Linked DNA regions of Drosophila melanogaster. The gene in region 1 interacts genetically with each later gene. Each region holds a gene or a part of one and is shown in the gene's direction. Other genes may lie near its edges. The genes, in order: myo and plum.

Region 1 (9,227 bases):
TGGCAATTAATCTAACCGCCACCAGCTTAAGCTATCGACCAATATCGAAGAGTGTTTTTCTTTTTATTTTTTCTCCATCTCTCAAAAGAGAGTAGGAGTAAAAACTCCTACCAGCAATGTAAGGGGTATCTGTTAGTTACGATCTGCGTAGCTATATTATAATATAAATCATAGACTAATCACAGATGTCATTACTCGGTATATATAACTATTTCCTTTTAAGAGCGTTGTCCCTTTTTTAGAAATGTGCTTGTAAGACTTCATTCTGCAACTTTCTCTCTTAAACACGGTGGCGATCGGAGAACATCTTATGGCCTCACCGAGTGAGTGGCAAGCCAAAGGGCATTACATATAATTTTAAAAAAAAACGGTATATTCCGAATGGGTGCAATGTATGACACAAAATAAAAATATTAGAGTTTCTCTTCTAATATTTTAAATTAAATTTCTGACCTTTTAAATGACCGTCGTCACTTTTTGGTTAAACCAATTCGAAATTAATTACGGTCAAAAGCCTTATTAAAAAACTTTCGGATCATAATTATTTCGACTAATATATGTACTACCTGCAATAATAAGAGGGCTTTTGGGAAAAATTCACACAGATGGGTTTAGTTAGTAGGGAATAATATTTACAAAATATACATACATATTTATATTACGAATGGTCGCACATGTATCCTGATTCTTTTATTAGATATTGATTGTCACACATTTTCTTCGATTTTCGGATGGGGGAAAAACAGTATGTGATTAAACACTAAAACGAACGTTCGTACAATATTGTTTATGCAATATTGTTTATATTTTCTGTGTATTTTGGTATTTTGTAGTATCGATTGGACTTCAGCACGCATCTGCTCGTATCAGGATGGCAACTCTCGGCGTGTAAAAATACAAACGGCAACTCTTAACATATATAGAAATCGATATGGCAACCCAATACCAGTGATTGCGTAGAGAATACGTTATTTTCAAAAATTCGATGCAGTAAATAAATAAATTCACAGATATAAGAATGATAATTTAGCAGACCTAAAGAATCGGTCCATTAATGAGCTATTAATAGTTCAACTAATCTACTCGTTGAAAATGTTGTGAAAAATATTTGAAAGCCAACTAAAGCGTTTCCTATTGTTAAACCATTGCAGAGCGTATAGTGATTTCTGTCAGAAAATTGCAACGTAGTGGAAATAATAGAAAAAAAATTATAAATTCTTGTTTTTGATCAGGAAGTATTTTAGTTCTGTATTTATCGGTTGAATGCGTGATCGCCATTTTCGTAATATTAGGTTTATCGCACGATTACCATCTATATGTGCGTAGATGAAGGAAAATTGACGCACTTGTTGAAATTATTTTATTTAAATCTTTATTATAACCAAAAAAAAATCGTAAATTGTTAACCACAATGGAAAAAATAAGTAGCTTACAATCCATCCAATAAATAATCTCTTATCAGTTACTTTGTTGATACATAAAAGAAGTCTTCTCCATTTGAATTGCTATTCTTAAGTAAAACAACAGAATTGCTGATACAAAGCAATAAAAATAAGTTAGTACAGTGTGAACACCTATCGTTTTCTTCCATATCGATAGGAAACTCATAAATGTATGTGTGGAAAGGCTTAAACATCTGTACGGGCGTCGATATATCGACAGCTAATCTGGAAAACACTAGACATCGCGGTAATTGTCCCTACCCTTTTTATGGAGTTCCCAGATTGCCTTCTTACACAACCATATTAATGGGCAATAATTATATAAGAAGACTGCGGAACAAAGGGGACCCGCACGAATATGTACTTGATTTAATATAAGTTTCTTTTATACACATAAAATTATTTTTGCATACTTATGTAAGTGCGTTGGGTACTTTTTATTAATTCCAGAGTAACGACATTTTTGCCGTTAATTTAAAACACGAAATGTTAGGACAAGAATGCGGAACTTCGGTTAAATTTTAAAAATTCCTTTGTATCAATATAGTCATTCCAGTAGTACAAATTAATACGCATGTAATTTTTGTTGTATAATAGCACTCAATTTTGTGTAATAAAAAAAAACAACTAGGGAACCAAAATTATAGAGACAAATCAAATCCTGCTAATAAAAATATATCTTATATAGTTTCTTCGGGTCTATTTGAAATCTTTGAAATGTAAAAATGTCTACACTCATAACTTATAAGAGTTAAAACGGCTTAAGGATTAAATTGATTTACAATAGAAAGTGATTATTAGCGACAGTGGAAATATAAATAAAATGTTTTCTAGAATTGTAAAAAAAAAAGTAGGAGTATATTCAATAAATATTTCATTTTAATATAATGCTATTTTGCTCGATAAAAATGTTAATATGAATTAAAGTTTACTCTTGCAATGCGTTTCAGCAGATACATTTTTAAAAGCGGCCTGTTATGCCAACTAAAACGAAATTGCCGGTGAGCCGTATGTATCCGATCGCATCTGATCAGCTGCTTTCAGTTCTACTTCGTCGCTCAATCGCACAGCAGTACAGAATCTCTGCGGGTTTTCAAATATTGGTTCTCTATGAGAAATAAATTATTATTATTTAGTGCGCAATTGAATACACAATTTTTTCAAACTATGTGTTTTTGGACAATGAATAATAAATTTAACAAAAGCGGATTGCAAAAGAATAATGTTCGAAACCGTAGGCCCACTGTTACTTCAATATAAAACATTTAATAATATATACTATACATATATTAAAACACACAATTGCCTAGTTTCAAAATAGATTTTGGTTGTACAAGTGTATAAAAATAAAATAAATACCGATAGATAAGTATATATCTACTTATGTACAATTGGTAGGTGTTTAAAAAGTTTGTTATCGCTAAATGTACATAACTTTGTACATACACAGCTTTAAAAATGTACATATGTGCTTATATGCATGCTATTTATTCTGTATGTATGTATAATTTACGTATGTACATACATATGATATATCTCATTTACGTTGTTCTGCTTGTAAAAGGGGAATAATGCACTTTCAGCGATGAACTGAAGTTCAAGAGCACAATAATTTATTATGTTTATAAATGGTTTTAATTGAATACAATAGTGGTCATAAAGAGGACTCATGTGAAACGTTTATGAACGGGCTTTGCATATGTGCATGTACATATGTAGCTTGAACTAACTTTTACGACTGTGTGCACATTAGGGTGGTCATTTTCTGCTGGCGCATCGCGCTTCCAAGGCGGATCAAACAATGCAGATATGATTTTTAATTTTTAAAAATCATTATATCCGGTGCTGCAGGATTTTATACTTCTACTATATTCAAAGTAAGTTTTTTCGTAGCCTGAAACAAGTTTTTGAAGGTTATTATTCCGTTATTCCGAGTTTTAGAATATTCACGAGCACACAAATCAAGTGACGATCGCAGCCTCACCGTGCCGATTTGTGACGAAAAATGGTTTTACAATTGTCAGTGTTTTTTCCTAAGCTTTATAGCCATAGAGCCATTTTTCCCTATGGCAGGTATATAAGTGTATGGTCGTCTGATTTTGATCGATTAAAAACCTAAATTATATATTTTCAAAAAAATGTGCATACTGAAGAAGAACTCTTTTTATTTGAAAACAACGAGTCTATAATTTTTTTCAACAGTTAGCTATATGATATGATCGTCAAAAGTCTATCAATTTAAAACCGAAATATTATATTGTCCAAATTTTGCCAATAATTTTAATATTTTTGAAGTTAGAGATCGTCAGTGGCGTAAGCTATTCAATTTTTTTTTTTTTTTTTTTTTGTATTGACTCGCGAAGGGGAATCATTGACTTCCGTGCTAATGCTTTAATAGGGTTTAAAGGGGTGCGCTCTTCTTTTTTCTCTGCACAGCTGTTTAAGGTATTACCTTGGGAATCCGACTTAATCGAATACAGCAGGGGATTATCTAACAGCTTGTATTTCGCGATTTGATTTTTAAAAAAATTGTAAAATAAGGCCAACAAGAGCCAAGTTGATTGGATGACAAGATCACCAGCCGCTGTCTCCAAAAATAAATAATAATTATTATTTTTATTTTTTCTTATTTTAAAATATATCAAGTATATTTATAAATACAAGTCCTTTTCAGCATTCATCAACGGTTTGATCAAAAATCATGCTGGCCAACTCATGCTGCGGTTGGAGAAAATATAAAACCCATGATCAGCATCATAGAACCCTAAAGAAAAAAACTCGACAGAACACATCAGATACAACAGTTCACATAGAAGTGAACTCCAACGAAATCCAGTTTCCAGGTTCTTACAGATTTAATCTTGACTCAAAAAAAATAAATATCGGGCGAATGAATATTCTTGGACATAAGAGAGGTAATTTCCGTGTAACTCGATATGTCACGGTCACCGTACTCTTAATTTTATCGACTGCAGTCAATGCTTATGCTCAGCCAGAAAATAAAAGCTTCAGTAATTCTTCCAACAACGATAGTCCGGAAATGGTTATGTTGAGTAACGAAACAAACAATAGTGCAAAAGTACTATCAGAAAAAAATGGTTCTTCTTCAATATCGGCGGATGATAAAATAAATGAAAATATGGGAATATTCCAAATGAAAGTACAAAGTAAACCGGGGAAAAAAAGTACCCCTTTAGCAAAGGTATCAGAGCATGGAGATTTATCAAGAGTTCAAAGTGTATCTTTGTATCGCAATACCTTAATAAATATAGAAAGTATGCTACAGCGTCAGTTGCGTGAGAAAGCCAAAGTGGATAGTATAGAATCGATTAAAATGCACATACTTATGCGCTTGAATTTAAAAAAACTTCCCAATATAACAAAACCAATTTCAGTACCACAAAATATAATAGATAACTTTTATAGAGATTATAATGCATCTTCAAAAACTACTGTTTGGAATCGCATGGAAAGCATTGACGAATCTCATTTGTCTATAAATGACACTTATGGCGACCACATAATGACTGATTTTTTTGATGAAAGTTCATCCTCCCAAATGCAGGGAGATGATGCTAACACTGTTAATGAATTTCTGATAGATTTGAATAAAAATCAAGCTAAAAAGTCGGACATTCCTATTAATACCAACGATGAGGAGTACGAGAGTATTTTGTCTCACATCAGCAGTATATACATATTTCCCGAGGGTAAGTAAACAGCATTCTTAAAGTAGATATAGATATAGGAAGATATTGAATAAGAGAAGATATTATATATAAGAGTAGGTATAGATAAAGGGAGGAAAAGACAAGGAGAGCTTAAGAGAAGTAAAAAGCATATATAACGTCACTAAAATCTGTGTAAATATATTTCTAGACTTTTTGTAAGTAAGAAGCATAATCATTTATCTTATATTTATATCTTTTTTGGGCCCGATTTGGTTATAGGTTTAGATTTCGAACTTTTTTCCTTTAATAAGAGAAAGCAAGCAAAAATACATATGACTTCTTCTCTATCTTTAGAAATTGTTTTCCCAAAATTCATTGGCGTAGTGTATTTTCAAAAAAGAATCGACACATTTCCTAAAATCTTGACGAGGTAAAAGACAAGTGGCATTGACCCCTTTAACATACAAAAAATGAACTGTTTACAACAAACATTAATCAATACCCAATTTTTGCTTTTAAGAAATCAAATTTCAATGAAAAAATTAATAATTTTCGTTTATATTTTCGTTCTTTTAGAAATTCAACCTCATGTTCGGCACAATCGCAAGGTCGATGTTTTTCGGTTTCAAATTGACAGTAGCTACTCAGACTTGTCTTACGCTACCCTTCATCTATATTTACGTGGTTGGGATTGGATAAGTGCTCATCAACCTGGACTTCTTGAAGAAATTAAAAAACAGCCACGTAAAGATATTGTTGTGACTATTCACCGCGCTATTAGGGTTGCAAATACAACAAGCTTTAATCCTAAAGTCAAAATGTTTGAGTTTCGACATAGTATTCCGTCAGGACTTGGACAATGGGTTGCTGTGGACTTAAAGTCTCTGCTTGGTAATCTTGGGTCTAATATGACGCAAGAAATTCTAATAAAGGGCGCAGAAACCTGGATGAAGTCATTAGTGGTGACCACAGACAACACATCGAAAAATCCATTGGTTAGAAGCCATTTATAATGAAGTTGAATACACTTACTCTACTAAATATATTTTTAATATTTCAGACTGTTCACATAGAAATTGGGTCGCAAAAAAAGCATCGAAGAAAGCGCAGCGTATATATGGACTGCACAGAAAATGATCATGACATGCGCTGTTGTCGATATCCCCTCAAAGTTAATTTCACCAGCTTTGGATGGCATTTCGTTGTAGCACCAACGTCCTTTGACGCATACTTCTGCAGTGGTGACTGCAAAGTTGGTTACCTAGAGCAATATCCCCATACACATTTAGCAGCCTTAACGACATCGGCCACACCGTGTTGCTCGCCGACAAAAATGAGTTCCTTAAGTTTGTTATATTTTGACGATAACCATAATCTGGTTTTAAGTGTTATACCAAATATGTCTGTCGAGGGTTGCAGCTGTTCTTAGCGAACAAAATTCGAAAGTGTTCTTTGAAAATAGAACTAATACATATGCTATGTAAATAAATTAACGCAAAGGAATATGGATCTGTTTGAGAAGGCTAGTTTAAAGTACAATTCCCAAATTTGATATAAAATTTACATTTTTAAAATGTAAAATAGGTCAGATTGCATGCTGATGATTCCCAAATTAATAAATAGATCGCAATTAAAAACAGTAAAAAATTAAAAAATATTTAAAAATGAATTCCTACATTACCGTATAAGATAAGTATAGAGCGAAACAATATATTTTAAACTGTGCATTACGAATTACAAATGAAAAGCAAACAAAAAATAATCGTTTTAAATAAAATGATTGTATGACGCATAAAGAAATACACGGTTAAAATAAACTAAGTACCTTAAGTTTTGATAAAAATTGAGTGAATAACAAATGGCACCGTCAGACAAATATAGTCTGAACGGAGGCTACATGTGGATCATTTACGGTTGTGTGATTACCTAATTTGAATACACAGCTAAATGTATAAAGGTGTTCATATCCCGTGCATCGTGAGCATATAGAATATTTTACAGTGAACGGCTTTGTGCGTGTGCAAACGAGACTTCCATATGCTGTTCTTTTCAAGACAAGTAAGGATTTGTATGAATAATGTTGATTAGAACAAAGGCTAACCTTACGTTTCGCAAAGCACACAGAACTTATTTCATAATAATTAAAAGTTAAATAACGTGCCAGAGAAATATAGATATACAAGTAGCAATGCAGCGCAGTGGCGTTACAGCGCTCACTTTCTCTATCTCCATCTACATAGTGTTAAAAAAAAATATGCTAGAATTGGTTAGTTTTGAAACTTATTCCGATTAGTTCCTACGATATAAGCTCGAATGCTTGGTTGAGTGCCAAAAAGAACTTATTTTTCTTATGCGTTATTTTCGAATCTTCTATTAACACTACTTGTCGCAGGATTGGCTTCTAAACGTTTGCAAGAGTACTTAGGAGTTGTCAATAATAATAATTTTGACAAGTGCTCCAACATTAGCTGATGATAGGTAAGCACTTAAAGGGGATAGTCGTGAGATGATTGTGTGACATTCCGAATATAGAGTGGGTGAAGATAAAAACTCTTGAAAAAAATTACGGCATTTTGCCAAAAACTTAGGCTCGCTAAGGAGTACCATCGCCAAGGAGTCATACGATCTTATCTGGATTACACGTCTAAAGCGTTCTCTTGTTTTTTTTTTTTTAATAGAATATGGGTTTCGATATACCTAAGCTTTCGGTATAAACTCATAATGTCAACCCCCCCCCCCCCCCCCTTTTACTAATAAGCCAACCAATTTATTTATTTCCGAAAAATTTATTATATAACCATTTAGTGATACATTAGTATATAAGTTGATATACTTATATTTCCATAAATATTTCTCATATAAATTTAGGGCTCTCGGTTCTTAAGTTGGCCCTTTAATGTGAATACTAATCAGTAAAATGGGAATGCCGATCTAAGTCGATATATGAAATGTACTTTAAGATATATTACTTTTTGTCGAACACAATACGGATATTTTCATATTGTTAATATTTTGTTTTTTGTTGTTTAATGTTTGTTATTGGGCGCTTACTTCTCTTTTAATTACTTTTGTATTATACTTATAATTATAAATTTTAAATTAGGTGAACGTATTTATATTTTACATCTATATTAATTCTTATTGTTGTTTTGCATAAATTATTTGTTTTTGTTTCCCAATTGAAGTGATACCTCGTTTGAATTAGTAAAACATTCGTTGTAAATGTATTAGCCGCCAATTATAAGTTAAATGCAAGTCCTTACAAACTGTGTACAAAAATATTTACTACTCTTTTTGTTTGTACGTATTACAAATTATATTTTTTGAAGACTATTCAATCTTTTATTTGAGCGTAGCACAATAGAATTTATTGCAGAACCAAACGGTCGAATTAAATATGCCACCAAGATGTTAAACTTGGTAAAAATAAATTAAATAGACATTCTTTACGTCTTTATTGGAATTAACATTTTATTGTTGCACAATTTTTTGCGCTATTCTAAAATAAAAGATAAAATGAAATTTAATTTGTAACAAAATATGTAAGCAACATTTTCAGGTAAAAACATTTAAAATATTGACTATAAATTGCAATTGTGAAGATATTATATTTTATAATTTTTCAGAAATAAAAATGTCTCAATTGCCGAAGTCCGTAATTTAATCTGAACTCGACTGTTGGGGTATCCATATTTTCTATCATTAATTTTCCATGAATTTATTTTCAATGTTATATGGGAGCTTTTTTCATCAAACAATAATTATGGTTCAAGTTTGTTATAAGCACCATAGATACCGTTTTATTTAAAAAAAACGTAAGTAATGGAATTTTACAGATTAATATGTTCTATTTATTTTATTTAGATATACTTATTCTTTGTCATATGAATGAGAACGCATTAAATACCTTACAACACTATGCTATCTTACGAAGAATATTATTTAGGGCTAAGCAATGCGTATATATAATTATATAGTATGTATGTATAAATGCACAATATATTTTTAAAAAATTTGTTTATGAAATTAAATTTTTCTAGTTATATCTCATTAATAATGTAAGAGGTTTATTTTGTGCGATAAATAAATTATTTAGTCTCACTCGTTGAAATTT
Region 2 (6,088 bases), on another chromosome or scaffold:
CACAGCGAAGCTGCGTGGAATGGTGGAATAGTGAAAAACTTCAGCGGAAAATTAACATTAATGCGACACACCCAAACGGACACACGCACACAGGGAAAGCCCGAAAGCCGGGAATCCAAATAGCTATTTCGTTACGTTACGTTTCTCTCGTTTTTGTGCCACTGTGCAGCGGCGTATGTTTTGGAATTTACACACACACGCACACGCAGGACAAGCGCACACACACGGACGAACGCACACATATACGCGCAGGCTGCGCAACAACAAAATGCTAGTCTAAGGCGGCGAGGAATCAGCGAAAAAGTGAAAGAGAAGGCGCTAGCTGGCGTTCTCCCTGCGTTTTTCGCACGCTTTGACGCGTTATTTGCACGAGTATTTACTGTAGTTACAGGGGCCACACAGAACAACGAAAATCGCAGCGAGCAGCACGTCTAAATTACGAACACGTACACGCACGCACACACACACACTCGCACGCACTCATGCAGTTAAAAAACAGGCGGTTTTTTCGCTTCCACACTCAAAAGCGGTCGAAAATCACGAGCGTTGGGTGAAAATCAACCGTTGTTTTCATCCGCGTTTACAATTTTTTCTCGTCGTCCGCCCGCGCGCAACAACAACTCTTTGCAGTATGACGCTCTGGAAAAACCAAGAAAAAGGTGACACTCCTCTTCCATCAACGAAGTATCTTCGCATACGTTCACACTTTGGAGAAATTTTGTGAATCGCCGTCTGGTCACACTACTAGCAACTGCGCAACTCACCTTTAGTAAAGACAACAACCATTCGTTTTATTTGCCATCTCTATTTCCGATTTTTAATCGGCGCCTTCCTATTTGAGATGAAGTTTAAGTTAATATTTTAAATTAAGATTAAAAGATAATGAATATTTTCATTAATTACGTTAAAAAAGGAAAATAACTTGAATACTGTAAAGTACTTGGTGTTCGGTAAGTAATTATAATATAATATAACACAAGATAATAATATAATATGTAATATTTTTCTAGTGCAAAATAAAAGTTACGTTTGTCTGTAATAAATTTAAATCTTAGTACTAGATTCAACAAACTGCATTTTTTTTGTGTCTCTTTTTTGCTTTACTCGCATTCCGTTTTGTTTGTTTTTCGCTGCTCGAAAAGCTTACGCTGCCGACTGCGACGTCGACATTGAAATTTTGGCGTCGCAAACAAAAACAAAAGTTGCCGGCTCTCTTCAAAGCTCAAATTGAGCAAGATAAAAGAGTGTACAAATTCTCTTAAGTTGCTGCTCTCTTACAACCGCTTAATGTTAAGCAATGTTAACCGATTTAAACCCAAAGGTTTTGTTCTTTGTATCTTGATGTTAAAAAGAGCTGAAATTGTTTAACATTTTTTTTTGTCATAGGAATGTGTATTTGATATTCCTTCATGTCTATTTGGTGTTTAAGAAGATATTGAGCATTATTTTTAGTGCTAAGTTTAAGTGAAGCCTAAATGATTAAAGCTGTGGAGTTCGATTTTTGCAATGCAAGACAACATCGTAAAGAAGAAGTAGAAGCTGGTAGTTTTTATCTTTTACGTTTTAAAACAGATGCGAATTTTCCATCTGATCGCAATCGTATTACATTCAAATCGGCGCCTTTCCCGAATCGGTTAACATAGCGCCGAGGAGAAAGAGAAATTGGGGGAGTATCACTATCGCTTTCTCGTTCTTTCGCCGAACGGGCTGCTTGTCGCCGCCGTTCCATTCATAAGCATAAGTTAAGCAGTGCGCCAAAGCTCGGCGAACAGTTTGGACGTGTTTGCTGCGTCGCTCTGTGTAATTGCGGGCGGATTTCTCTAGTAAATTTTTGCCGGCGCTTGTAAATTCGCGATATTTTCGACGACGCTGCGTGCTTGTGTGTGTTTCAAACAACAAACAAAAGTTAAACAAGCTGGGCAACAACAGTAATTGCAGCTATGTGTGCGTCTGTGTTTGCGTGTGTTTGAGTGCGTGAGTGCGAGCGAAACACAAACGTAAAGCGGAAATGCAAAAAAGACAACAAAGGTAGCAGAAAAGTAAAAAGTAAAAAGTAAAAGAGAGGAGCCGGTGCAGCCAGAAAGAGCAAGACAGCACGAGTGGGGGCTAATGAAAACGAAATGTGATTCATTGGCTTTATCAATTGTGCAAAATTCCGGCATTGTTTAGTCCTGGGCGACAAATAAATTATGACATAATACAACAAAGGGCGAAATAACAAGAAACTGGAGACGCAGCAAAGCACAAAAAAGCGTAAAGTGCGTGTATGTGTGCGAGTGGGAGTGCGTGTACGTTTGTGTGTGTGCGTGTGGGTGGCATCAGTATTTGAAAATTGAGAAATTCCAAACAAACAAAGCGGCAAAAAGGATATACGAATGTATGTAGCAAAGGAAAAACTCCAAGTACAGTAGTTGCTGCTGCTTCTTGTTCACGCAAAAGGCAAAAACGCAAAAAAGCAAAAAAACCCAAAGGCAAAATACCCGAAAAAGCAAAGGCAAAGCAGCAAGAGCGTAGCAAAAACAAAAAACAAGGAGCAAAACGGCGGCATCTCAAAAGCTTAGTAAGCTGCGCTGCTGCTGCCGCCGCTGCTGTTGCTTCTTCTTCACTGTTTTCTTCTCCTTATTTTTTATTTTTGCAAACAAAAAAGTATATGATGCCCAAACAAGAAGCGCAAGAAGAAGCAGCAGTCGGGAGAGGAACGAGCATAATAGAAGGTAGAAATTTCGAGGAAATCGAAATTTGCGTCGTTGCTGAAATTCGTTTGTTTCCTCATCTTCCTCCCCTTCGTCCTCTTCATCCGCTCTTTCGCTCTCTGTTTTCCTGAGCGCCGGATTTTGCGGCTCTTTGTGTGTGTGTGTCGTGTATCTGTGTGTTTTTGTGCAAAAATTCGCGTACAATTTGTTTTATATAACAACAACTACCCCAATGTGATTTCCTTTGCTCAGCCGGCTTTTTGCTCATCTTCCAGTTTTGGGTTTTATCTTAAACCAAAACCGAATATTATACAATATATTTCGAAAAAGATGTAAACGAGACAAAGTTTTATATCGCAGGGCTGTAAACAAATGAACGCCACAATGCACAGAAGAAATAAGCTAGTATTTCCAATATTTTTTCAACCAGAAGCATTTTTTATTTTATTCGTTTAATTTGCTTGCTTGGTTAATAAAACAAACGAATTTTTAATAAAATTCAATTAGAAATCTAAATGCTATTACAAATTTAAACGCAATCCAATTACTTTCTGTGTATTCAAAACAAAAAACCGTAGCTCAAATTCGCACAAGCGTTTTTTTTCATTTTTCTTTTGATTTATCGAATTGTTTTTTTTCAATTGTCGTACGGATAAAAGTTTGTCTGCGATGTGCGTTACTTTTTGCAAAGCCTTTCATAGTTCGAACAGCAAAGGCATCAACAATATAATAGTAAGCCAGAAATATATTTTAGCATTCATATATGCGATTTTTTGCTTTTTGCGAGCTTTGGTTTGCCGCGCAATTTTGCGCTCTTGAGATAGAAATGTATCTTGCAGATACACGCGCCTTTTGTCGAATTGAAATTGAAATGGGCTCCGCCGCCTTTTATGTGGCATCATCACCGCCATCATCATCATTATTATTATTATTATGACTACTATCATTATTATGGAGATGCGTGCGTAATGGCAGATGAAGAATCTGAGCCGTAGAATCTGCGAATTTATCGCAGCTTAAATCCGAGCACACACAAAAAGCCAGTACAAATTTAGGGCCGATAAAAGGATGTCAGAGGAAGTAAAAAGAAAGGATAGAGGGGAAAAACGCAGGATGAAGGATACCTTTGTTAATGCTGATATTATTATGCTAACTGATAGCAGCAGAAATATCTATGTTAAAAAAGGTAATTTTCAATGCAATTCTATACTCATTGCTAAGAACTTATAGTTCTTGGTGTAATAACAGAATATAATATCTAACTGGCGAACAAAAAAAGTTTAGAACGGAAATAATTGCAGTTCGTAAAACAATAGAAACCAAGGGGAAAAAACTTCGGTTGGCTTTTGGAAAAACTTTCTCAAAACTTTATGCTTTAAAAGTGTAATCAAGTAAATCAGTAATATTAATAATAACTTGAAACTTTTAGTTTCTCATACAGAGCTTCTTTTAATTTGATAAAAAAGCGACGCGAACAAAAGATGAACAAGAAATGAAAATTTGTTAATTTTGAATATGGCTTTTTCCAATCTTGGTATGTATTTTCACTGTCCCTTGGGATTGTTTTCCACCCCAAGCCACGGGTTAATGCCCCACCACCTCATCAATTTTCCGATTTGAGCGGTGACAAACTGATGACATTGGCGCCGGGCCATCGTGTTGGCGGCATGTTTGTGCGGACTATTTAACAAATTGAGTATACGCACTGTTGCACGCGTAAAATATTTATGCCTGTGCCCAAATGTATTAGCATACTTTTGTGTGCGTGGGCGTGTGTGTGTGTTTGTGTGCATGGGTGTGTGCATTAGATTAGTGAATAAAATTCGGTGATTTGATTTCTCCCCCGATTTTCATTTATTTCCGAAGCCAAACATCGCGGTGAACAGAGAAATGAGAAAATGCTCTTGCTAATCGTATTGACTGGAAGAGCGTGAAGAGCTCGCTAACGTTCCAATAATCGCAAAAAGATAAAAAAAAATCTATATAGTTATAATTACAATCGCGGTTGGGCCTAAAAAAGGAGCCCCAGCCGGAAAGCGGTGACAACAAAAAAGTCGGATTGCAATGTGTTTGTTTTACAATCGTCGCCTCTTTGTGATTCAATTGATTGAGATCCTACTGCTGCTGCTAACCGACCACAATGGACGACTGACACTAACCAAGGAGTCGACAACAGGTGAGTGCGGTTACCTTTGCCATATTTCACACTCTAAATTCGCAGTTGTGATGCCAACTCGGCAGTTATTCCGACCAAATTTGAGTGTTTTCAGTAGATTTATAATAATATAATCCCAGTTGTTACAAGTCAATTTTTAAACTAAGGTATTTTTATTATAAGGTAAAATAGTTATGTTTTTCCAGTACTCTTAAAGCAATCTACCAAAGCAGCTGCTAGTTTTTGAACTTGGCAAATTTGGCTAAATTTAGTTTTAAAATAGTTGACAACACTGATTCAAAGTGCCAGTTGGAACTCCGCTGGGGACCCACAAAACTCCAGGCAATAATCATAAACTAATGGCGTAACATGGCAGGCGTGTCCGCATTCCACTCGAAAGGTCTTTCAAGTCTCTCAGCGTGGAGCGTGGAGAAAAAAAAACTTGTTGAGTTTGAAAGGGGTTGGGATTGGTGAGGTGTGGGCTCCTTCGTTCGGGTGTTTGTCCCCGGGATTTCCACGGCCAAATCCCATAAAGAAAATCAGCAACATGAAATATTAAAGTTGGTAAAACACGCGAGAAAAGTTTTTCGGTCTTCCGCGGCACGATTCCGCTGAGGATTGTGGCGTCAGGCTGGATAACTACCCCTTGCCGCTGCTTTTATGAATGTTTTATATTCGACATCTAGCCTGCGCCTTTTGGGGGTTGCTTTTGGGGGCTTACACCCCTGCGCTTACCCCCAGGATTTCGGAATGGTCCCCCTTTGCATGTACGCCGGCTATTGCGAGGTTATTGCGTCGTTGATTTGGCTAAGCGAGGTTATAATTCTAATTCATTGTAAGTGAACAAGTCAAAGGCATGACGTCTATCTTTTGGTCGGAGGTTTGTGTTTCAAGCTGGCCAATTAGATGACAAGTTCTGGAGGCACCTGTGTTTCTGTTTCTATAGGCTGTTTTGTAACCACCCCCAAGCGTCAGTCATCTGCAGCATTCCCACGTTTTTAATGTAGGCATTTCAAACAGCCTCAAATTCAAATAGAAAAATTCAAGTTTTTCTTTTGATGTTGGCCGAACCGAGTCATGTGTGCCAACCATCAACAAAGTTTCACAGCCATCTTTCGTCAGATATTTAAATTTCTCTAAAGTGATTTTTGCTTTACTCAATATCGGAAGCTTCAATGCAACCATTTAAATCAATTAAATTCGTTAGACAGGACAGATTAATTGTGCTTTTAAGTAAATA

The links.
Region 2: of myo (region 1) and plum, changing one suppresses a phenotype caused by changing the other (phenotypic suppression), as found in Drosophila melanogaster (one study listed by BioGRID).

Annotation. Positions count from the first base shown.
Region 1 is NC_004353.4:689,306-698,532, reverse strand, and holds myo (myoglianin), read left to right. Parts: upstream 1-2,477; 5' UTR 2,478-2,836; exon of another isoform or gene 2,837-3,195; 5' UTR 3,196-3,319; intron 3,320-4,116; 5' UTR 4,117-4,143; coding exon 4,144-5,152; intron 5,153-5,689; coding exon 5,690-6,108; intron 6,109-6,173; coding exon 6,174-6,542; 3' UTR 6,543-7,847; downstream 7,848-9,227.
Region 2 is NT_033777.3:26,530,894-26,536,981, reverse strand, and holds the start of plum (plum), read left to right. Parts: upstream 1-1,764; 5' UTR 1,765-2,258; intron 2,259-4,559; 5' UTR 4,560-4,757; coding exon 4,758-4,869; intron 4,870-6,088.